2 linked regions of the Pelodiscus sinensis genome follow. The protein of the gene in region 1 purifies or fractionates together with the protein of each later gene. This does not show direct contact. Links are inferred from orthologs where the notes say so. Each region holds a gene or a part of one and is shown on either strand. Other genes may lie near its edges.

Evidence for each region.
Region 2: the proteins of TJP1 (region 1) and OCLN purify together in Homo sapiens (affinity purification with western blotting; 4 studies listed by BioGRID and IntAct, with this or other methods). This does not show direct contact. The link is inferred for Pelodiscus sinensis from reciprocal best matches to the Homo sapiens genes TJP1 and OCLN.

The regions. Positions count from the first base shown.
Region 1 is NC_134724.1:44,961,303-44,973,356, forward strand, and holds the start of TJP1 (tight junction protein 1), read right to left. Parts: upstream 4,999-12,054; 5' UTR 4,950-4,998; coding exon 4,855-4,949; intron 1-4,854. UniProt on the Homo sapiens protein: TJP1, TJP2, and TJP3 are closely related scaffolding proteins that link tight junction (TJ) transmembrane proteins such as claudins, junctional adhesion molecules, and occludin to the actin cytoskeleton.
Region 2 is NC_134716.1:81,588,346-81,600,052, forward strand, and holds the start of OCLN (occludin), read left to right. Parts: upstream 1-7,061; 5' UTR 7,062-7,486; intron 7,487-7,799; exon of another isoform or gene 7,800-7,949; intron 7,950-9,154; 5' UTR 9,155-9,197; coding exon 9,198-9,247; intron 9,248-10,155; coding exon 10,156-10,840; intron 10,841-11,707. UniProt on the Homo sapiens protein: May play a role in the formation and regulation of the tight junction (TJ) paracellular permeability barrier.

The sequences.
Region 1 (12,054 bases):
CTCTGCTGTCTACACTGGCCCTTTTGCACAAAAGTCTTTCGGAAAAAGACTTTTGCCCGAACGGGAGCAGCATAGTTTTTCCCACAAAAGCACTGACAATCTTACATGAGATCGTCAGTGCTTTTGCGGACATTCAAGCGGCCAGTGTAGACAGCTGGCAAGTTTTTCCGCAAAAGTAGATGATTTTGCGGGAAAACTTGCCAGTCTAGACACATCCGGGAGGAAATGATCTATTAGAAACTGTGTATCTGCAATTTCTTGAGTCTGATACATTACATATTTTCTATAAACTGTGGGCTACCTTAGACAATCCCCAAACATGTACAAGAGTCTCATATTTACACTATTCATCTCTCTCTCAGGCTATTTCTACACTAGGTGATTCTTTTGAATTTACTAAGTTTAACTTCTGGCCACCCAATTTTACAAATTCGAAGTTGTGTGTCCTCACTATGGGGAAGAATCTAATGTAGTCTGAGGTAGCGTGTCCACATTAACAGAGCCTGCTTCAGACACAGAGCCCCGGGAAGCACTTTGGGGAACTGTGGGAGGCCTAATTAGTTTGAATTAGTGGCAACAGAGTGTCTGTACTTACATTATTTTGGACTTACAAGTTCAGGAATAGCATTATTCCTCGTGAAAAGCAAGACTACAAAAGTTGAATTCCATGGCCCCTTACTCCGGAATAACAAGCTTGATAGTGTGGACGCATCACTTAGAAAATCAACCTTGGGGGGCTAATTTCAGAGTAAGGTCATAGTGTAGACCAGGCCTTTATGATTGCCATAATAATCTCAATACTATCGACAGAATCTTATATCTTGTTTTCTGAACCTTCTCACAAAGGGTTCATTTCTGCACCATTGAAGTCAACAGAAGTTCCACCGCTTTTAGAATTCTCACAGACTGTGATTTATTTCTCTCACTAAAATCTTGTCCTGATTTCACGTATATTTCTTATAAAACTTGTTTCTCCATTGAAAGTCTTTTAAAGTTTAGACCAGTGATTCCCAACCTTTTTCCTATGGAAGAAGCCCTAAAATAATTTTTCATATCCCGGGGAACCCCTTTGAAAACGTTTGCTTGGCCAGAAAAAGTTGACAGTGGGGAGCGCAATTCAATTACTGCTAAATTATTGTCAAGAAAATTTATTTGTAAAGAGCTGTTATATATAATGTCAGCTTACATTGTAAGGAAAAAAATTATTTATTTATTCCACGATTTCTCGCGGAACCTCTGACAATGGTCTGTGGAACCCCAGGGTTCCACGGAACCCTGGTTGGGAAACACTGGTCTAGACATTAAAACCTTACTCCCAGTTTGGTAGGAAATTACATGTATTAATTGCATGACTTAGCTCTTTTACAAAACATTTTACTTGCAGGTATTTAGATTTCAGTAAATATTTACTTTGGCCTATTGTTTTAAGATTTTTACATGTCAATAGTTTATTTTCCTTAAGTAATTTTGCAGCTGGGTTAATTCATACTGTACTCTATCTTAAAAAACACCCAACTATCTGCTGACATTGACAGTAAAAATCCTGGATTGTCTTACCAAGGTTAAATAGACTGACAATTTTCTGGGTGTGATTACCACATCTCAAATTCTTACTTCTGTTTTTTAACAGCTGCTATAGCCACGGTTCAATGTCAATATAAAGGATTCACAATTCTTCAAATCTACAATCCTACTGCAAATTTGAAAACAGTAGTTCTGCTGGGAAGTTCTTAAAAGTTCACATTTGCAACCATAATTTAAGTGTGCTGTAGCAAATAATAGTTTATTTTATAGAAAGTGTATATCATGCTCATAAAATGTGCCAGCTGACAACTTGAGAAGTAAAGGCTTCTATTCACGAACCAGGTGAAACACAGTACTGCAAACTTCCCACACTGCCTCAGACCTGACCTACACAGAGGGACCTCTCTTAGGAAAGAGATTAGTAAATTTTTAGCCTCTCTGCTAATTACTGCCAATTATGATGGTAGTTTTGCAACATGGGAATAAGACTGAGACCATCCGACTCACTTAATATATAGCCTATAGAATAGGTATCAGATGGAAAAAGCTGACAGACAATGGTAACATAGATTGGGTTTGAACTGACAACCTAGGGAATCAAAGCTTCTATAGCTGATTACCCATCCCATTAGAGAGCCAACATCCATCTTTTTTTGTTTTGATCTTGTTCTGTGAAACACAAAAAGCACAGCTATAGGACTTATAATTTTTTATGAGGGGGGGAGTGGGAGGAAATTAGAGTGGCAGATGCTCGATAAAGGAATAAACAATTGCTGCTACCTTTTTCATTTTCATTCAGTAGGATTCAGGTGGATTATCTCCACCAACTAAAGATAAATATTTTAAATCTTTTTTATAAAATGATTCATTTTGCTTGCTCTTACAGTATGTACTAACATATATATAAAACAACTTTTGAACCTGACTGGGCAAAAAAGAATACTGAAATTCTTACTTTGATAAACGAAGACTATGCTACCTTTTGATCATATTAAAGGCGATTTATACATTCTCTTTTTGTACACCAGGCTAGAGACTATTGATATATGGTAATGGAATGTACTTTTTGCAATATATTGCATTGATTTACATAATAAAATTAATATATTTATTTCACAAAAATTAAGCTTTATATAACATATGATTTGAAAAAAATGACAATACAATCTTAAGTACAAATATATCCCTTAGGAACACTTTTAAATGTAGTGTAAATTACTATTTCAACCCCGACACATAGCCACACAGACAGTCTCATATGGAACTCACTCAGGATCCTAGTGCAAAGTTGAAACCTACATTACTATGTCGCATGCTGATGGGGAGATAAGAATTTGAAGAAATAATCAAAAGATGTAGAATATAAAGATTTAAGTAACTGGCATGAATTCTTACATAGAAAAAAAATCATGATCCTTTGACCCAGACCATCAACAACTCAACTCCTCACACAAATATGACATTGATGAACAGCATACTTTTCCTTCAACAAACATTTGTTCTTCATTCAGGACCTACTATAGTGTCTTGCTTGTCTCTCTGAAAGTAGGGAAATTTCTCCATAAAACTAGGAAATATGGGTTGATTTTATTCTCACTGAAGAAAATGGAAGTATACAATACTGTATACTATATGTACTGTCAGCAAAGTAAAAAGGAATAGCATTGACAAGAGAAGAGTATAGGTAGTTGCACTTTATCTTTCTGACAATCAAACCCAAGCCACTATATATAGTGTAAAAGATAACCATGTGTAAGTATATTTTTTTAAGGAAAATATCTGATTTTGTATGTTACACTTAACAAGAATATGTTTTTGCCAAATTAAGTTACTAAAATAATTTTATTTTCTGTAAACATTATAATAAGTTTATGCTAGAAATATTATTAGTTTTATATGTGAAAGCATAATTTATATACTCTGCGACTTTTTAAAATGCCAGAAAGCTAAATTAGTTTTTTAAATTTTACACTTTCTGCAGTATGAAGTAAAATGATAAACTATGAAAAAATATATCAATGTGTGCTTTGGAAAACAGTTGTTAAAGAAAACTTGAACCACGTAAAATGTTAGTTTAATGAAGTTGGCCTATAGAAATGTTACTATGCTTCCCAGTTTTACCTCATTCCTTGACATTGTCTGTTCTGGATGATCGTGTGAGAATAAAGGACAAAATAAAATAATGCCAAGATCCATAGTCACTATAGTATATGTATTGCTGTCATGAGAGGCTGTTCATGAAAACAATTCATTTTGAAGCTACTTTATTGTTAAACAGTATGTCTTAGCACTTCCTTCTCAGACATTTTACACTTTCACCGTGACCCAGGGCCATGATGATAGGAAACCATAAGAACATTGCTGCTCACATCTCAACTTAAATCTTACAAAGATTTTTTTCTTAAGGTACAAATTTAATTCAAGATCCAAGGTATTTTTTTCTTAGAAAATTTGGCTTTTCAGTTAGGTAGATTTTCTTCTTAACATTATTTTTTCTGATGATATGCATCCTGCTGCTTCAATCATGCTAACAGTGGTCCTTTACAAGACAAAGAGTAACTGGGTATTGCAATGCTTTATGCTTCCTGGTGTCCTACTCACCCACATTGCAGTTTTACAGTGCTCTATTTTTTTCTTAACATACTGTCAGTTCACCTAGAAAACAATTCTAGTTCACCAATCAGTAAGCCCAAAAACCACTGGAAATGTGTCAAAAGAAAAATAAGTATATTTTAAAATTAAAAGTATAATATTATATTTAGATACTGCATGTCCCTTTTTGAGATTCACACTTGCCAAGAAAAATAAAGGGCTGACATTTGGAAGTGAAGCTTTATTCCTACTACGGATCAAAGAAGCAAATATCAAACAATCATTGGGAATATAGGATCAGACTGCCATGCCTATGATATGCGGTGTTGTTGTAGCTATAATAGACCTTCCTTGTAATTACCCCTGCACCTTTCCGAAGGAGCTGCCATTATTTTGACAAATGTTTGTTGTTTCTTTCTGAAAACACTTCTGAGAGTGCGAATCACACTGCTGGCCCAGGGAGAGGCTGGCGGCTGGGAGCTCCTTAAGCCAAGGCGTTTTCCTGAGAGGAGGCTGCAGCGGGCGAGCGGGCAGCTCCCCCAGCACGAGGCTGAGCACAGGGGCTGATCTGCCCGAACCCGCTCGGCGCACGATTCGCCGCGACCTGCGCCCGGGGCTTCCCGTGACACATTCCGGGCCCTGCAGTACGTGTCGGTTTGTCCCCACGGACCCCCAATGTGGGCAGCGCCGCGCGCCCGGTCCGGCACGAGCCCTTCCCCTCCGCCCGGCCCCACTCACCACAGCTTCCTCTTCAGGGGCATCAGGCTGCCCCGGTTGGAGGCGGTCACCCCTATGGCCATCTGCAGCACCGTCAGGTATTTCTGGTACTTCATCGCGCCGCCCCCCCGCGGGCCCGCCGCCGGCAGAGCCTCTCCAGCCGCTGCATGCAACCAGCAAAGCGCTCTCCCCGGCATCTGCCGCCCTGCGCCGCCGCCCGCCGCGCTGCCTCTTCCCGCCTCCGCCCGCCGCCCGCCGCGCTCCCCAGCTCCCTCTGCTCTGCCGCGCCTCCCCGCGCTGCCCCCCCCGCCGGGGGTCACGCCCTGCCCGCTCACCTGGCCGTCTCGCCCGGCCGCCTCCCCTCGCACCCTGGGGCCTCCGACCCCCCCTCCCCTCGCACCCTGGGGCCTCCGACCCCCCCTCCCGCGGGGCACCCTGGGGCCACCCTGACCCCCTCCCCTCGCACCCTGGGGCCTCCGACCCCCTCCCGCGGGGCACCCTGGGGCCTCCGACCCCCTCCCCTCGCACCCTGGGGCCACCGACCCCCTCCCGCGGGGCACCCTGGGGCCTCCGACCCCCTCCCCTCGCACCCTGGGGCCTCCGACCCCCTCCCGCGGGGCACCCTGGGGCCACCCTGACCTCCTCCCCTCGCACCCTGGGGCCTCCAACCCCCCCTCCCGCTGGGCACCCTGGGGCCACCCTGACCCCCTCCCCTCGCACCCTGGGGCCTCCGACCCCCCATCTCGCTGGGCACCCTGGGGCCTCCAACCCCCCCCATCTCTCTGGGCACCTGCGAGTCTCTGACCCCCCATCTCTCTGGGCACCTGCGAGTCTCTGACCCCTCATCTCTGTGATGCCCCCATCCCTCTAGGCACTTGGGTGACTCTCTATGCCCCCCCCATTTCTCTAGGCACCTCTCTCTGGCCCCCCATCTTTAGACCTCTCAGGTCCTCCCTCCCCACATCGCTGGGCATTTGGGGCCTTTCTCTCAGCTCTACACCCTGCCCCTCACAGGGTTTCCAAGAGGGTGTCACTTTCCCATCCTCCATCACTGGGCCTCTGGGCTCTTCCTCTCCCCACCCACTGCTAGTAACTGGGGTCTGTCTCCTCCCTCCTTCCAGAGCAGTGTTATGCCATATCCTACGGACAGCTCAGTTACCCAGTGCCGCTTTGCTGCTGCCATGCTCCGAGCCTGGCGCTGCCCTCTGCCCTCTAGGTTTCTGTCCCCGCCTCTCTAATCTTATTAGCGTCTAGAATAGTCCCATATTATTGTAATCCCTACCCCCATCACTTGTGATTTAGCTATAATCAGGCTGTGGAGCCAAGCACCACATCAAATGCAAACTGGCTACTGCTCAGAGGCAATGCCCACTGTGCCCTGGGCATAGGAGCTGGGGAGCTTCCCAGAAGTAGAACCTTAAATCAAAACTATCTTCTGAACAGAGAGAAAGAAATGGACAAGAAAGAGGATTATTAAGATCACCTGCCCTACATTCACCTCTGCACCACAGAGATGTGGAATCCTATGCAAAGCCTAATGAATCAACAGCAGAAATAACAAAATATCATTCCTGATGCTCTCACATCCAGAGAAATGATAGAAATGACTGCAGATTTGAAAGACTTATGGCCATTAAATCAGACCTATAAATGTGATATATTCATTCCTAGACATCCACTCTCTGGGCACCTTAACAAAAATAGCTAAAACCAATCATGTATTGAATCTTACACTCAAAACATTACACTAATAATCTCTCTCTATGTAAAATAATTTTCCTGTGGGACGACAGAGTGATGTAATCATGTGCTGCAGCACGAGGGGGGCTGCTATCGGCCCTTCTACTGCACCCTGCTCCCCCAGACTCTGCAGTTAGAGTCTGGGTTCCCTTCAGCCCCTCCTCAGGGATGCCCTGGGCTCCCCACTGGCCCCTGGCTTCCCTATAGGAGAGTTAGGGGGTGGTGGCAGTAGCCACCTCTGGCCTCACTTCTACTTCCGGATCTGGGCCACTGCCTACCTGGCACTCCTGCCTCATGTGCCCCCCTCACAAGATTACAGAGCCAGCAGCACACGCGCTTCCCCACATGCCAGATCCAATGCAGAGTCTTGGATCTTTCTCTTCCTCTCCTGCCCTACAGGAAGCCAGTGCTAGCGCTATAATCCTGGGGGTGGGGGAGAGGGCAGCACGAGGCTGGAGCGCCAGGCAGGAAGCCGCCCAAGGCAGGCAATGGTTCACACAGAATCAGGGCCCCAGACCTGGAAGTAGAAGTGGAGCCAGAGGCAGCTTCCCCATTGGAGCAGCAGGGAAAGCCCCTGGTGCTTGGTGGCATGAAAAAAAGTAAGTGCCCCCTCATGCCCAGCCCCTGCAATCCCAGTGCCTCATGTACCCCCGGCCAGCTGTCTCACCTCCTTCCCCTGGCCAGACACTCTACCCCCGACTGCTCCTGCCTCCTCCCCCAGGCCAGACACTGCCCAGTCGGAGCCCAGCCCCCATCTGGCCATTGCTCCTGTCCCCAGCCCTGATCTTGGGGCAGACCCTGCAGTCCAGTCCCCATCTGGTCACAGGAAGGGCTGGTAGCAGCCCCCTTCCTGCTGCAGCACAGTAAGAGGATAGGCCACAATCCAGCTGCAGTGGATAGATGGGGAGATTGGTAAGTGTAGAGAGCAGGAGGCACAGCCCCCTAATGATTTCTTAAACTTATTTTGGGCCTTTCTCCCCAAAGTTCCTTAATATTTACATAGTGTGATAGATGTTCATGGCACACCATAGGTGACTATAAAACAAGTTCCTGACCTAAAAGGCTTTCATTCTAAAGACAGCGTAGAGAGATAATAGGGTAACATCGTATAATGCTATCTATGTACTTTATAGAACCACTGAGGTCAAACATCTCTGGGGCAGAGGCCAGCATGTAGCTGACGAACTGACCGATAGCATTGAGATTATTTTTGGCTACAGATATTAGAGTAAAATATGTTGAGGAATCTTTCATGTCCACACATAGAAAAGTCTTTAAACAAAATACTAGCAAAAAGGAGACAAAGTAGTTTGGGCTTTGGCACAAAAGATGCCACCAATGAGCTTGGCTGTGAATACTGGGAAATAGTATCCCAGGCTCACAAGAGGCATGTCTACACTAGGAAATAATTTTGAAATAAGTAACATAGAAATAATAACTCCCAAAACAACAAAATCGAAATAGTGCGTCCCCACTACAGGGAGCATCGAAATTACTCAGAATGATTTCGAAATAGCGCATTGACACTGATTGGAGCCCGCCTTGGACTTAGAGCCCCTGGAAGCACTCCTGGGAAGGCATGTGTGGCTGCTTGGTCAGGCAAGCTGTGGTAGATGCTATCAGGACCTCCTCTCCATGGCTGCATCTCACACGCCACTCCTCCACAGGACACAAAACGGATGCCGTGTCCTCTGGTTGCCCTGGTGGACACCACAGCACTTCCAACATGGAGTCAGAGCTGCTGCAAAGCAGTGCTAGGCTCACGGGCCTTGTGCTGCACCGCATGGTGCAGTTCATCCAGACTGCCCACTTGCTGCTCCAGCAGGATGACTACCAGTCCGGACCAGAGGCCCTCATCACCCAGGTCCTGGCACTCCTATTGCTGCAAATGATCCTCAATCCCCTGGACACCATTGAATGATGCTTCTGATGGAGGGAGACCAGTTCAGTCTCATGGGACTGCATCATCCTGCAGCAATGGGATGACAAGCAGTGGCTCCAGAACTCCACACATGTGGAAGGCCACCTTCCTGGAGCACTGCAAATGGCTTGCCCCTGCCCTCAGGCAACAGCATCCTGGGCAACGCAGCCTTCCCCTTGCTCCCCTGACTTATGAAGCCCTACACAGGCAGCCTGGGACCCACCAAGATGACTCTGCCAGGCTGAGGAGGTGCTGCATAGTTGTGGAGTGTGTGTTTAGCCATTTAAAGGGGAGGTTCTGGAGTCTCCTCACCCGTCTGGAACTCAGAAAGCATAACATCCCCTTTGTGGTGGTGGCCTGCTGTGTGCCCACTACCTCTGTGAGAGCAAAGGGGAGACTTTGCTGCCAGGTTGGGGGCAGAGGCTGCACGGATGGCCGGGGCATACAAGCAGCTGGACACCAGAGCCATTTGACAAGCACATAAAGGGGCTTTGCTCATCAGGGAGGCCTTGAGGGAGAGTTTCAGCCAAGGTCAGCTGTGAGACTATCCCTTGTGCCTGTCCACACAGGACCCCTTACGTTGCCTCTCTGTGCTTTTCCTCCCGGACCCCCACCCCTTCCCACCTCCCCTGCCCCTGCAGAGCAAATAAAAAAGCCTTTAAAAAAAAACCAAGACTGTTTATTTGGGGGATATAAAACAGGGGAGGAACTGGGGGAAAGAATCTGGAATGCAGGAGGGGGAGGCGATCTCAGGGATGGGGCCTGGACTGACTGGGTAGCTTGGGAGGCTTTGTGTGCCTTAGAGGTCCCACTGCCCCGTGTTCTGGGACCCTGGTGGCTCCTGGGGGGGAGCTAGGAGGGAAAGGCAAGGGGAGATGGTTGGTGGCCTGCTCCATGCACAAGGCCATGTGCTCCATCAATGCAGTGAGGGAGGAGCACATGGCCTCCTGCTGGTGTGCCAGCTGGTTCCAGGGAGCCTTCCACTGCTCCTGGTCAGTAGCCTGCTCCTGGCACTCCTCTTCAAGCCCCTGGATGAGGGGCTCGAGGCAGGCCATCTGCTACCTCATTAGATCTTCCTGAGTATGTTTCCTCCTGCAGATCCCGGCGGGAGTCGGGAAGATGGCATGGGAGGTGGTGCACACATCACACTCACAGCTGGCTCAGCTGTGAAGAAAAGTTACAAGGGCAGTCATCCCAGGAGACCCTGTATATGAAGCCTAGCCCTAATCGCTGAGCTGACACTGAAGTTCTTGGTTCAGACAATAGCGATTTGCTTCGAGCAAGGCTATATGTTGTCTTGACAACAGGCACTTTCCTGCAGGGGGACGGATGTCCCAGGGGAGCATTGCTACACCCACAGCCTGGGGACAAGCAAGCATGGGAAGGTGCTGGCCAGGCCAGGAGCCTGCGGGTGGCAGGAGGAGACAGGGCAGCTCGGCTTCCTTCCATGTCCTGCACACACCGGGTCCAGCACTGGCGGCATCTCACAGAGAGAGAACTTCTATCCCTGCTCGCTAGAGGAGGATGGAGTTTGTGAGAGGTGTGTGCGAGTGGCAGAGGCTGCTTGCTGGGAGAATGCTACTGGGGTCCCCTCCACTTCCTCCCTCCCGACAGGTTACCATGCAGGGAATCGTGGCTGTGCTGACAGCACAGTACAGTACACGGGGGGGGTATGAAGGATGTGATCGCATCAACCCTTCCCCACCCATGGTCCTCCAAGTAAGCATGAGGCTGGGGCAGTACATTGCCCCAGCATCCCTCCCCAATGCTCTGGCTGGCTGGAGGAAAGCAGAAGCGGCGCAGTGCCCCAACCTCCCTCCCCTACGCGCTAGATGCTGGGAGAAGGCTGGGGCTGATTTGTCTCCCCCACCCGCCACCAAGAGTGGGGATGGGGACTGGGATGGGGATGGGCCTGGGTTGCAGGGGTGGGGCAGCCACCAGCGCCTCCCATGACTCAACCCCCCCCCCACACAGAAATTCCTGAATACAGGCCTGCTATTGTGTATGTGTATGATTGCTATCTAAAGAACAGAATATCAGACCTACTCAATTAGGCACCATAAACCTTAAGAGAAATAGAAGATGTGGTTAAGATCAGAAAAGTGACTGAAAAATGCCACTTTCTTGTTCAATTGACCTACTCCCTGTGTACATGCAGAATGGTCTCTGTTTACTTTAATGACTTTAAATGACTCTAATGTTTTTACTCATGTTAACCCCTGAGCCCACACAAGGCTATGAGAGAGCAGAAGCTGAATTTTATTCAGACCTATCATCAACAGAATTTTTTAGCTAAATTACATTTACCATACTCTGTTTTGCCCTTAATTACAGTTGTACAATTCCATTAAGACAATCATTTACATCTGTCCAATGCTAGCCAATCCTTATTACTGATGAAGCTACATAAAGCATTTTTGGCTTCATTTTCAAATTCCAAATTGAATATACAACTCTGGCAACTAGAAATATATAGTTATATATATATAATTTCTCGATATGAAATTATTGCCATGATAAACGAAGAGACCAATAATGACGTTTTTACAGTAATATTTGAGACTCTAAACTCGCTTTATCAGCCAGTGCAGGATAGACATGGATCTATTTCTAGTATTTGTGTTCACATACATTATAATGCCCTTTTAAGTTATGACTTCACCTTTATTTTTTATTTGTTGAGATGGAATAAAAAGATCAACCTAGTTGGAGGTAAATAATTTGAGACGGGTTATGTTTTCCTATGTATTATACAAAGACCAAGCACAATGGGCCCACAAATGCATAACAGCATCCTTACTGTTATGATATAAATGCACAATAATAAATATAAAAATAACTTCAGATTTTTCATTCTAAGTCAAAACATGTCTCTCTGCTGCCCTGACTCTTGAAGACTCCCAAATCTGAAATTGCAGGGATGTGATAAACACAAAGCCTGCCTTTTCTAAAAGAAGGAGCTTTAAAAAAATAATTAGCATGTGGAATACTGACCAGAACCTACTGTAGCTCTCTCTGAAGAGGACTGGCAAATAGAAAACACCTACCATATGCAAGTCTCCTGAAAATCATAAATTGGTTTGCCGTGGAAAATATTTTCCAAATTCTGTCCATACTGCAGCTTCCATCACTGGAACTATGCTGAGGGTCCCAATTTTCCAAGTCCAAGCAAGGCTACAGAGCATATAACTTAAACAAAGGAAAGGGCACAGCACTCACTGAGAAGAAAAAACTTTGAGTAGCACACATTTATCAATTTGACATGAAGTATCATCCACAACCCTCTGGCCAACAGGCCCCATATCCTTAGTATATACTTTTTTTTCTTCATAAGGCTTTTATGCCAAGCATTAGCCAACAGTTTTCACAATACACATTGGGGATTTTCTACACTACTGCAGCATTTAATATGACATGAACAATTCATATTACACACTTCAGTAGCTAAAGTGATGTTTTAACATTCCAGAGTCTAACATGATACAGCATTGTCATTAAAACTTGTCATTAAATGACTATGCTCCACTATTAGCTGAATTTCCTAATTTCCTGAATTTCCT
Region 2 (11,707 bases), on another chromosome or scaffold:
CATGTCAAATGCCCCTGGCATTTGATGGCATAGATCAAATTACTGGATGTGCAGTCAAATGACCTTTTGATTTGGTAGCTTATGTTGTTGGCTCCAGTGATGAATTCGCTAGTATAGACATGTGGGCAGAGTTGGTATCGTGTTTAGTTGCAGGGCTGGGTTCCTGGATGTTTATGATGTGGTTGTATGGTATGGTTACCGGAAAGAATTCGTTTCAGGTTAGGGGGTTGTCTGTAAGTGAGAATAGGCTTTTCTCCCAAGGCTTCTGAGAGTGAAGGATCATTTTCCAAGATGGGTTGTAGATTGTGTATAATGTACTGGAGGGGTCTAAGTTGTGGACTATGGGTAACTAGCTGGACTTACCCGGCGTTGCTCGGGAAACCGGAGGAATAAAATTTAGAAAATTTAGGAAAGGAGGGGACCCTGAGCCACAGACCCTGGGGGCTCCTGGCCCATACCTGACCCTCTGAGAGCAGAAGGACCCTCCTCCCTCCACGACCAAGCAGCCAGCCCCTACGAGAACAGTACCCAGTCATGTAGCCAGTAGCAAGGGGACTTCTCTTTGCAAGGATGGCTCAGGGATCCACCTGCCCTGCCTTGGCAAGCAAAAGCTCAGAGCTCACGTCTAACCCTGATGGCTGGAACCAGACACAGAAGAGTCCCACTCACGGTATGAACAGCAGCTGGCTGGCTTCACAGCAATGTAACACATCAAGGCTGTGTCTACATTGGCATCCCTTTCCGGAAAAGGGATGGTAACGAGACACTTCGGAATTGCAAATCCGCGGGGGATTTAAATATCCCCCGCGGCATTTGCATTTACATGGCTGCCGCTTTTTTCTGGCTTGGGGTTTTTGCCGGAGAAAAGCGCCAGTCTAGATGCGATTCTCCAGAAAATAAGCCCTTTTCTGGAAGATCCCTTATTCCTACTTCCCTTTCCTCCATCTCTCTCCCTTCCCCTTGTGTCTGGCCTGGTGCCAGTGTCAGCGCCGTTTTCCATGCCAGCATCCCTGCCCCCCCGCCCCGGTCCACCTGCCTGCTGGTTTGCATGCCAGCTGAGGTGCACCTGCGCTATGAGGGCGGTCCTCAACCCGCCGCCCTGCGCAAGCGCCACAGGCCCAGAATAGTGGTGGCCTGGGAGCGCATTGCCACTGGCAAACCTAATGCGGGTGGGGGAGGAGAGAGTGGGGCCCCCGTCATACCCTCCCACAGTACCTTAAAACCTTCTTCTGGAGGAAAGGTAATACCATGCAAAATTTGGTTGCAGTAGCTCTTATAGTGTCTGGACTTACTTTGAGTCCTAAACTCAAAACTCCGGTCATCTGAGAAGTGAGCTCTGCCCACGAAAGCTCATGATACCATCTACATGTTTTGTTAGTCTATAAAGTGCTATCAGACCATTTGTTGTTGTTTTTTCTGTACAGACTAACTTGGCTACTCCTTGAAACTCCTACTCTTGTTTTAAAAGTTTAATTAAATAGTCTCTTGGGATGTTCAATATTAGTTGTGTCAGTGTAATGGTTTTGACTAACTTTTGTAAAACATCTCTAGCACCACAATGCTTCCCTAGCAATATTGTTGGTTCACTGTTGACTGAGTATGTCATTTGTCATCAATACCATTTTCTCTAACACCTTAATTACATGGCTATAAATATAATTGGAAATGGCCCAAATTTGGCTGATGGAAGTCAGACTTTGAGTTAGCTACTTCTCTAGGTCCCCTGACAAAAAAGGTAGAAGATGGTAGAAGAATTTCTCTCTCCTTGTTGCTGCCAGGGGAGAGTAATTAGCGCAGCTGTGACTTGTGAAGTCTGCATAAAATCCCAGAGAATTTGCATGCTCTTTAGCCCAGCCCTGAGGTAATCTTTTGTAAAGCTGAGATGGATTGTTTGCCCATCTTGAGCTAGTTCTCATGAATGAGCCCCTTGACTATTGTGCACTATAGCTTATTTGCTAAGCTCATTCTCCACTGTGTTCCTAAACCTAAATGCACTATTAAAGACCTGATCCTGCAAAGACTCAAACTTGACTTTCCATACGTGAATAGTCTCACTGAAGTCAATGGAACTATTCATGCAGAAAGTTAATCACGTATGTGAGTCTTTGCAGAGTTATAATCCTTTTAGTATTCAGAATAGACCTGAAAAGTATTACAATATACCACTTACTAATTAAAAGTTGTAAAGTTGTCAGAGCTCTCTGAACTACTTTAGATATACATAAATGTGAAGAATTAAAGTCTGAATGACTACATTAATATAATTGAAAGAATGGTTTTATTTTTACACTACTTATATGTCTATGGTCTAGCAGATTTTATACTTTGAGCTAGTGCGTAAATACTGGCATAGGCTGATACTTAAGAAAACCCATAATAGAAGTGGGAGAGGTCGCTTTTATGCTTTGTGCAGTACTGTATAATCTGCTCCGCAAAGCTCTATTTTGAGTCATATGAGAGTAGGTTCTGAATTTTAAACAGGAAATATGTGTTCATAGTGTTAGACAAAAGAACATTCATTTTGAGGAAACTAATTTATAAAGTAGGGTCTGATAGTTGAATATTTTTCTGTGATCATAACTATTTCTTATCTATGAATAAAATTAGGCCTGATTATTTAGTTTTTGGCTGAACAACTAGAAGGTACACTACTGAAAAGAGAGGTGAGAAATCAAGGAAATCAAACATGCTGCTCTTGCAACTCTTTGTAAAAATGTATACTTAAGCCTTGATCCTGCAAGTAAAAGTATGTGGATGTACTCTTCTGCCACCCACAGCAGCAAATAGGGCTCTGCCTACTCCTTGTCATTTGTAGGATCATCCCTCTGATTGTATCAGAGGGCCAAGATTTTCAAAAACAGGAATTAAATCTAAGCTGCTAAATCCATATTTTTGGCCTGATTTTTCAAAAGGGCAGTGTGCTCACCAACTACAATGTTAAGGTTTACTCGCAGTGAGAGGAGAGGCCACTTTTAGTTCCTGTCTTTGTTGTTTAATTCACTTTAGAGTGTGTCCTTGTTAAATAACGCTTAGTTTTATAGTCCGTAGATCAGGGAATATAAAAATTTTTGGTAGGGGCCATGCCAAGATTTTGGTTAATGGTCAAGGTCTGCACTTTTCTGTGGAGGGTCTAGGGTGAAGGTTGGGTGCACAGGGTAAGGGACTGGGGTTCAGGAGACGGTGTGAGGGCTCAGCGGGTGTATGGGTGAAAGAGGGGGTTGTAACCTGGGTCAAGGGATTGGGGTGTAGGGTCAAGGAGGGGGTGTGGGTGCAGGATTGGATTCTGGCCTGGGGGAGAGGTGTAGGAGGAGGTACAGGGTCTGGGAGGGAGTTGTCACCTGGAACAGAGAGAGCAGAGGGTTTGGATGGTGATCTGGGGGAGGAAGTTGGGGTGCAGGATGGGTTGGGGGTGCCAGAAGTAGGCACTAGCTGAGAGGAGTTTACCTAAGTGCCTCTTGGCCTACACCCCAATCTGTTTGAAAATACAGGCTGCTCCCTCCACCTGGTTCTCATATCGGGCTGCCCCAGTCTCTCAGGCCAATCTCTCAGCTCCGATTGACTGGCTGTTTCCAGCCAATCGGAGCTGAGAGATTAGCTGAGGTCAGTTCTTATTGGCTGGTTCTTTCTGGCCAATAGGACCTGAGGATTGGGCTGGGAGTGGGGTGATCTCACAGAAGCCTCCACCTCCCTGCAGAGCAGAGAAATGCAGGGACTGTGTTTAAGTCGGCAGCTGTGTCTGCCTGAGGGTCCAGTCAGGGCCGTCTATGGGCTGCAGCCTGTGGCTTGGCAGGCCAGATCCGGCTCCCTGGGCCGTATTTTGCCCAGCCCTGTGATAGGGACATTATGCCATAGCAGATACTGTTCTTAAGACAAAACATAAAATTATTTTGATCATTGATAAATTTGTGATGATTTTCTAAGAAATCATAGCAGTTTGGATACTTACATTCTGATAGGTTATCTAAGTAACTATTCTGCCCACCTACATTCCACTTGCAATTTCAGCTGTATAGGGTATAATTAAAATCCTAGAGACAAAAGGCTCGACTTCTAGATACTGTTTATTTGTAATCCACTCCTAATGTTAGAAGTGCTATCTATATAGGAACAAAAATTCCATTCAGAGATATCTGTCCTCTAATCGCCAAGTGTACTATTTTGTTTTCTGTTTTGTCTACTTTGAATATAAGTTCACTGAAAACACTTGTCTAATCTTTCTTCTCTATGATGCTGATTATGCAATATTAATTACCAGGATATGCCTTGATCAAGTTGCTGTTGCTATATCAACATACAAACATGTGGAATAAATAATAAAGATGGGTGACTTTACAGAGCAAAGAAATCAACCCCTGACTAATTCAAGCAATTAGATTTGTCTAATCTCCAAACATTCTATTCACTTCATAAGACTAGGCTTCAAAATTAATGTCATTACTAATGTGCATTGAGTGGACATAGAAACGGATTATTTTCTAGTTCCAAGAGGCAATTTTTGTAGGTATGTGAATACAAGTAAGGCATATTGCCCATATCCTGTGTGGAAACTTATTCCTCCTTTGGTTATGCTCTTATGATAGAAAAACTGACAAATCAGATTTAGAATAGATTTTTATCACCCCTAGTATCATTATCTCATGGATACTAGTCCTCCACCTCGCTCCCCTTCTGTTCTAAATCTGATTTGTCAGTTTTATAATGTGTTCACTTTTTTTTTCATTGTATTCCTTTGGTATATATGGTCGTGCCAATTCTCTTCCAGAATTTGATCTGAGGAAGTGGGTCTGGCCCATGAAAGCTCATCACCTAATAAATCATCTTGTTAGTCTTTAAAATGCTGCATAGTCCTTTCTTTTGTTTCATTCCCTTTTTATATGAATTTTTGTAACAGTAGCAAGGGGCCTTTCTCATTTAGTTGCCTCTGGGATCAGTTAGTTCTGGGGCAGTGGTCACCAACCAGTAGATCAGGATCTACTGGTAGATCTTGGAGCCTTTGACAGGTGATCCTGACAGGTGTGGCGAGGAGGCTATCAAATGCTGTCACTTCATCTGCCCCTCTCAGCACTACCGTGCTGCTCCTGCCCTCTGCTTTGGAGCTGTGCCCCACCCCTGGGAGTTTCTTGCTTGCTGTGCAGGGAACAAGAAGAGGACGGGGTGCTGAAGTTAGGGTGTCCTTCCCCCCACTCTGTACCCCATCTCCACATAGTTGGGGGAGAGGGGAGGGCAGGGATGAAGAGAGTTTGCTGGCTGCTTTTGGGAGCAGGGGTAAGCCTGCCTTAGTCCCCTGCATCACCACCAAGAAGCCATCTGTTGTAAGCGGTGCCCAGCTGGAGCCCACATCCAAACGCCAGCCCCAGTTCTGAACCTCTCCTGCACCCCAAATCTCTACCCTAGCTCATAGTCCCCTTGCCTCCCAGAGCCTGAACCCCCCTGCTGCTCAACTACCTCAGCTCAGAATCCCTCCCACACTCCAGATCTTTTAGCTCAAGGTCAGAGTCTGTATTCCTCTATCCCGCACCCCAGCCTTCTGCCCCCAGTCTGATAAAAGTGAGTGGGGATGGGGGAGAGTGAAAGGATGGAGTGAGCAGGGGTGGGGCCATGGAAAAGGGGTGGGAAGGAGGCAGGGCAAGCATGTTTTGGTTTGGGGTAGATCCTGGATTGCACTTAAATTAAAAAAGTGATCTCATGCTTACAAAGGTTGGAGACCACTGTTCTAGGGATATCAATGTGACACTTAAATGTCCATCTCCACAGTTGATTAATCTTCAAGTACAGGACTCTCCCTGCAGGAAGTAAGTACAGCATCCAAGGAAGATGAAGCACTGTCTCCATTTAATTTTATTTTGCTTGCAATTAAAATGTATTTTAGTTTGAGCCTTGGTTACAGGGGAAAGTTATGTATATGGACACTCTTAAGTCATGTTTACAGTGTGGGTGCTAAGATGGTATAGCAAAACTGCTATTCAGTTTAACCAATACCCAAAGTGGTCTTTCTGTTGCTCTAAGGATAGTGATATTCAGACCTCAGTGGTTCAGGAGCCAAATTATAAACCTTCATTACCCAAAAGAGCCACAGTAGTGTGAATTCATTTTTGTATTTACTATAGTACTATATATAGTATAAATAAACAACAGATTAGTTAACTCAGAGCAAATTTATATTTGGTTAAAAGCATAGTAAATGTTTCCTGGTTTTTAAATTAAAATTATTAACCATAGTGTTTTAATATCTTGTGCTGCAGAGTTACAAGAAGTGAAATAAAGAGCCACTTGTGGTTTGGGAGCCTCAGTCTGAGTATCACTGGTCTAGGAACTTCACATGCCCAAATAGTCAGTGGCAAAAATCTTTCCTCAACCTCGCTGCCTTTGGAGTGGGGGTGTGACCCTCATAGCTACAGGGTAGTGCTGAGGAAAGTGAACCTTTTACACCTTTGACCACAGTCAAAGTTTATGTAGCTATTTTTTTTAGCTTTCTTACTCAGTGTTTAGCAATTAAGCTAAAAAAGTGTACTGTCTATACTAGTGGCTCCATGAATAGGTGTTGTACCTGTCTAACCCTTCTGCTTTAAATTCAATCTTTAGCTATATCTATAAAATGCCTGTTAATATATTGTGACACTATTCTTTCTATTTCCTTTAGGTGCATGCAATGGGAGAGGTGCATAGAAACAGCCCCGAGCCACTTCCAGTACTACTGCTTTAAAAGGGTGGCATTGGCTTTGCTCTCCCCGAATTTGAACCAGCCTACTTCTAGCCATCATTTTAAAAGGTGCCTTTTTTCCGGGCGCTAACCCCTCTTCCCCATTCGTGCGTTATGTCTACAGTCCAAGAGACACTTTGCAAACAATTCCAAAGGGGATTGCTGGGCTAGGAGCTGCGACCCCCCTCCCTCCAGATCTGGGGAGCGGTGCCGGGCAGCAGAGGGGGAGAGTGAGTTGAGTGTGTGCTGGCACCACTGAAGGGCGGGGAGCGACTCGCCCGCGGCTGGGAGGTTCTCGGGCACGCCCCCAGCCCGCCCTTTGTTTGCACTAGACTCTCAGAGCTGAGTCCATCCTCACTCGAAACTGGTTCTCGGCCCCCTCCGCGCGCTCGCTGCAGGATCAACCTGTTCGCTGCCTGGTGCTGGGGCTGCCGAGTTTCAGTTGAAGGGGTCACGCGCCACTGGCAGAGGGGAGGGGAGCAGCCAATCAGTGCGGCCGAAGCGGGCGGCTCCCACCCCGCATTCCAGGCGGGAGCTGCTGGGCGGGGGGGGTGAGTGCGCCTGTCCTCGAGCCCTAGGTGTGCGGGCAGGGCGCATGCACCGCGGCGGGGTGCGGCTGGTACCGGGGGGGAGGAGAGGGCTTACAGCAGCGGCTGCTTCCAGAGAGATTAAAGAGCAGGGAAGCTGGGAATCAGGCGAGCGTAAGCGGGTGCGTGCGCTGCTGGCGTTAAGGTAAATGAACTCTTGGACCGAAGCGGTTTACAAATCTCGGAACGGGACATCCAGGTGCGATGGGGGCAAGAGTAGAGTGTGTCTGGTGACTGGTGTGTTTGCTTTGTGTAGGGTCGGGGGGAGGGGTCGTCCCTTTCTCCCAACCGCATCCATGCCCAAGTGTAAGGGCTTCTGGCTTATTCTTAAAAGTTTTCCCAAATGTTTATACTTACGGCTTGTGATTGGAAATATCGAAATAAGAAAAAAAAAGCTGATACTTCTCGTCTCTAGGGTACTACTGTGCATTGCTCATTATTATAGCCAGATCATACGTAGATCTTATTTCTTTAAACGCTCAGTTGCATATTTAAACTCAGTTCTGTATTAGTTGGGCGTTGTCCCTGTGACACCAGGGATGATTCTTCAGTTACATCTTTTGTACCTTAGCCTGCCTCTTGGTTCTAGGGCTGTGCACTGTAATAAGGGTTTCGTCTCAGTTATTGTTCTCTGATGTGCAAGTTCCTCCAAAAAGAGTAAGGTAAGGAGGCAGAAATCTATTATACGATTTTAATATGTAGTTTCCACAAAAGTTGTAAATGCCAGATCGTTTCAAAGAAGTCAGTAAGTCCTTCTTGAATGGTCGGTTCAAAGATGAACCTTTTTTAACAAGTTGCTTCCTTAAGATATATTTTCTTTTTCCTCAAGAATGTCAAATCTACCAGGGCATTCAGTCTGTTATGAAAGCTTTCTTCTCAGTAGAGAGATTTTTGGTATGCACAGGAACAGGTACATTAAATTCTTCTTTGCCTCTCAAAGAAACTCTGCATTATTTTGCAGCTAATGTCTTGTGCTCTTTCCTTTTTCTCACTGTAGTATCACCTCAAGGCTGCTCTGAAACAAATTACATTTTGGTTGAAATATCTGTTTTCACCATAACTACGTTTATGAAATGTTTTGCTGATGTTTAACTGAAAGGCTCTTCTTACTCCAGCAATTAATGGAGATACCCACTTCAGGGACTGAAACCATTGTTTCAAACTATAGTTTTAAAAGGATAACTTAAAATAGAGCTCTTGGAACAATCCACAGATTGATTGACTCTAAAACCAAGAACCTCTACCTTCAAAAACATTGTACTTGCTGTCCTTTCGGGTGGAGGAGAGATAAAATTGCCACTCTCTTAAATGCATCAATAACAAGTTGCTAGTTGCTCTTTTCTTTTGCTGGACTTAATCAGTCATAGAACTGGAAGGAACCTCTAGAGGTAATCAAATCCAGAGCATTGATCTAGCATCATCTTCTAGAGCAATGGTCATCTGAAATCTTGTGCTATTTTAGGTCAATATTTTAACAAATTGGGTAAGGGCAAAACTAATGCCCCCTTCAAAAAAGAAGAAAATGGTAGGTGATCATGAAGAATTCTTGATTGGTGTTCCTACTTGAGATCTAGCTTAAGATGTTACATATTTCAAGATATTTTGGGGAAAAATCATAGTTAAGATCAACTACTGTGTTAAAGCACTGTATGATGAAGGGGAGTCTTTGTATATTTTAGGAACTGTTTGTGTACCTTGGAGTGGAAAGCTCTATTTATTGGAAGTCCTTGAAAAAATTTTTTTTTGTGGATTTGACTTTCTGTTTTTAGTAATTGAACAGCCATCTGTATAGTATAAGGCGATCATACTAACTATAATGTCAATAAGCTGTTTAGATTGTTTTGTAATTGTCACTTTTTTTTCCTAGGTACCAAAAATAAGTCTCAGTTTAGAGAACCAGTACTTCAACTATGTCATCCAGACCTTTTGAAAGTCCTCCACCTTATCGACCAGATGAATTGTAAATATTCTCTTTTCTTCTTTGGTTACTACTTTAAATAACTCCAGATAAGCAAGTGTACATAGTTGAAATTCATATCTTTAACAGCTTATTTATACAATTGTTAACAGTAACTGTGTCAACTGTCTTCAAGTTGCTGCTGTTAGCCTATATCTGGCTACGTATTTAACAAAAAAGGAAATGTCTGTCCAGCACATATAGTGTGTTCTAATAGCTTGTTTACCACTTTACAGGATGCTTTTTGTCTCTTCCATGTGTAAACTAATCAAACAACAGTTAATTAGTGATAGAAATGTAGCCGTGTTAGTCTGGGGTAGCTGAAGCAAAATGCAGAACAATGTAGCACTTTAAAGACTAACAAGATGGTTTATTAGATGAGCTTTCGTGGGCCAGACCCACAATTAATTAGTGATTGCTGCACTCAGTGTTGCAATACCTGTCTATCAACGGGGTTGAAACTCCTTAGTGCCTACATTCCTTTTAAAAATGAGATTTAGGCTCCTAAATCAGATAGGCATTATAAAGTTGAGTGCCCTTCCTTCTAAATAGCTTTACAAATGGCCCTACTGTTTGGTATGATAAATACTGCAAATTATCACTCTTAAACATTCTCTGAGTTCTCCAGAGCACACATTCCAGTAATCTTTAAATGCCAGTGGTCAGAGTGGATTAATTTCAACCCTCTAATATTATTTGTGAACAACTATCATAAAAGCGCATGAGAAAATAAAATGTCTTTTTGGAGGAATATATGCATTCCATTGAAAAATATAGGACTCTTTAAAAACTGTCTAAATCTGACCACTTCCTGAATTAATCTAACTTCATGTGTTGTGCACTACAGTTTTTTTAACAGTTTTTCACAACTGCTGAAAACTTAAGTTGATAATTTTTTCTTTTTATTGCAGCAAACCTTCTCACTATGTACCAAGCAACATTACGTATGTTGAGGACATGCGTTCTCAGCCCATGTACTCTCAACCAGCATACTCCTACTATCCAGAAGATGAAGTGCAACACTTCTACAAATGGACTTCCCCTCCAGGAATAATAAAGATCATGTCAGTTCTCATTATAGTGATGTGTGTGGGCATTTTTGCTTGTGTGGCTTCCACATTGCCTTGGGATTTAGAATTCTATGGAGGTTCATCAATGGGATCTGGTGTTGGATATCCTTCATATGGAGGTTTTGGAGGCAGTAACAGTTATGGCTACGGTTATGGATATGGTGGAGCCTATGGTATTGGAGGAAATTACATTGAGCCCCGAGCTGCTAAAGGCTTCATACTTGCAATGACAGCTTTTTGCTTCATTGCTGGAATGGCAATTTTTGTAACAAGTGTCACCAACTCAAGCACATCCAGAACAAGAAGATATTATCTAATTGTCATAATAATAAGTGCTATCCTTGGTTTCTTGGTATTCATTGCATCCATTGTATATGTACTGGCAGTAAACCCAACTGCACAAGCTTCAGGATCAGTGTTCTACAATCAACTTGTTGCTCTGTGCAGTCAGTATTATACAACTACAAATACAGGAATCTTTATGAATCAATACTTGTATCACTACTGTGTGGTAGAGCCTCAAGAGGTATGTATACATTAATGCCTATTTTCTTCCTTTAAATTGTACACCTAACATGTCTGCGTATAAAACAGTTGGTGTACAAAATCCATAGCTCATCTAGCTAAACTTTTTCTGCTCATTAAACAAATGAATTCTTTAACTACTGCTCTCCCACAAATTAAGAGCCTGAAGAACTTTTATAAGCTTCCAGGAATATAGTAAATTACCATGAGCATGGGTGCAATTAAAATTAATATAAGCTGCAATATAGGAGACCAAAATTAAATCCTTTTTAACTAGAGATGATTTGTTAGCATGCCATCTTTTTTTTTTTTCCATTGCCCCATGTCATCCTTGCTCTATCACAGTAAAAGGAGCAAATTACTCTGAATATATTTACATGTGAAAGTAAATCTCATTTCTTTGTCCATGTATTTTAACCTAGTCTCTTGTATCAAATTTATATGCACTGATAGCACCTGTGCAAGAAAAAAGTCACTATAATAAGCCATAACCACTTCTAGGTGACCAATATGACTTTGTGGTGATAAAATTTAAAAAATTATTAAATGTATTATAGTTATTGCAGTTCTAATATGTTGGGCTATTGGAACGTCATAAAATATTAAATTTCAAAACCTTCATTTGATGGTTAAAAGAGACTTTTTATTATCTAAGATAAATACAAGCGCTGCATTTGTGCACTACAGACCTCTTTGTAGAATGCTTCCGTTAACTATATTGTTTCAAACAGTAAGTTTAGTAGACTTCTGGTCTCATTTCCTAAATAGCCAACACAATTTTCCTTAGTCTTTAGCCGAGTGTTCTCTGGTTAAGGCCCCAGAATGTGCTGAAATGAAAACTGCATGTGGCATCTGGGAGGGGTTATGA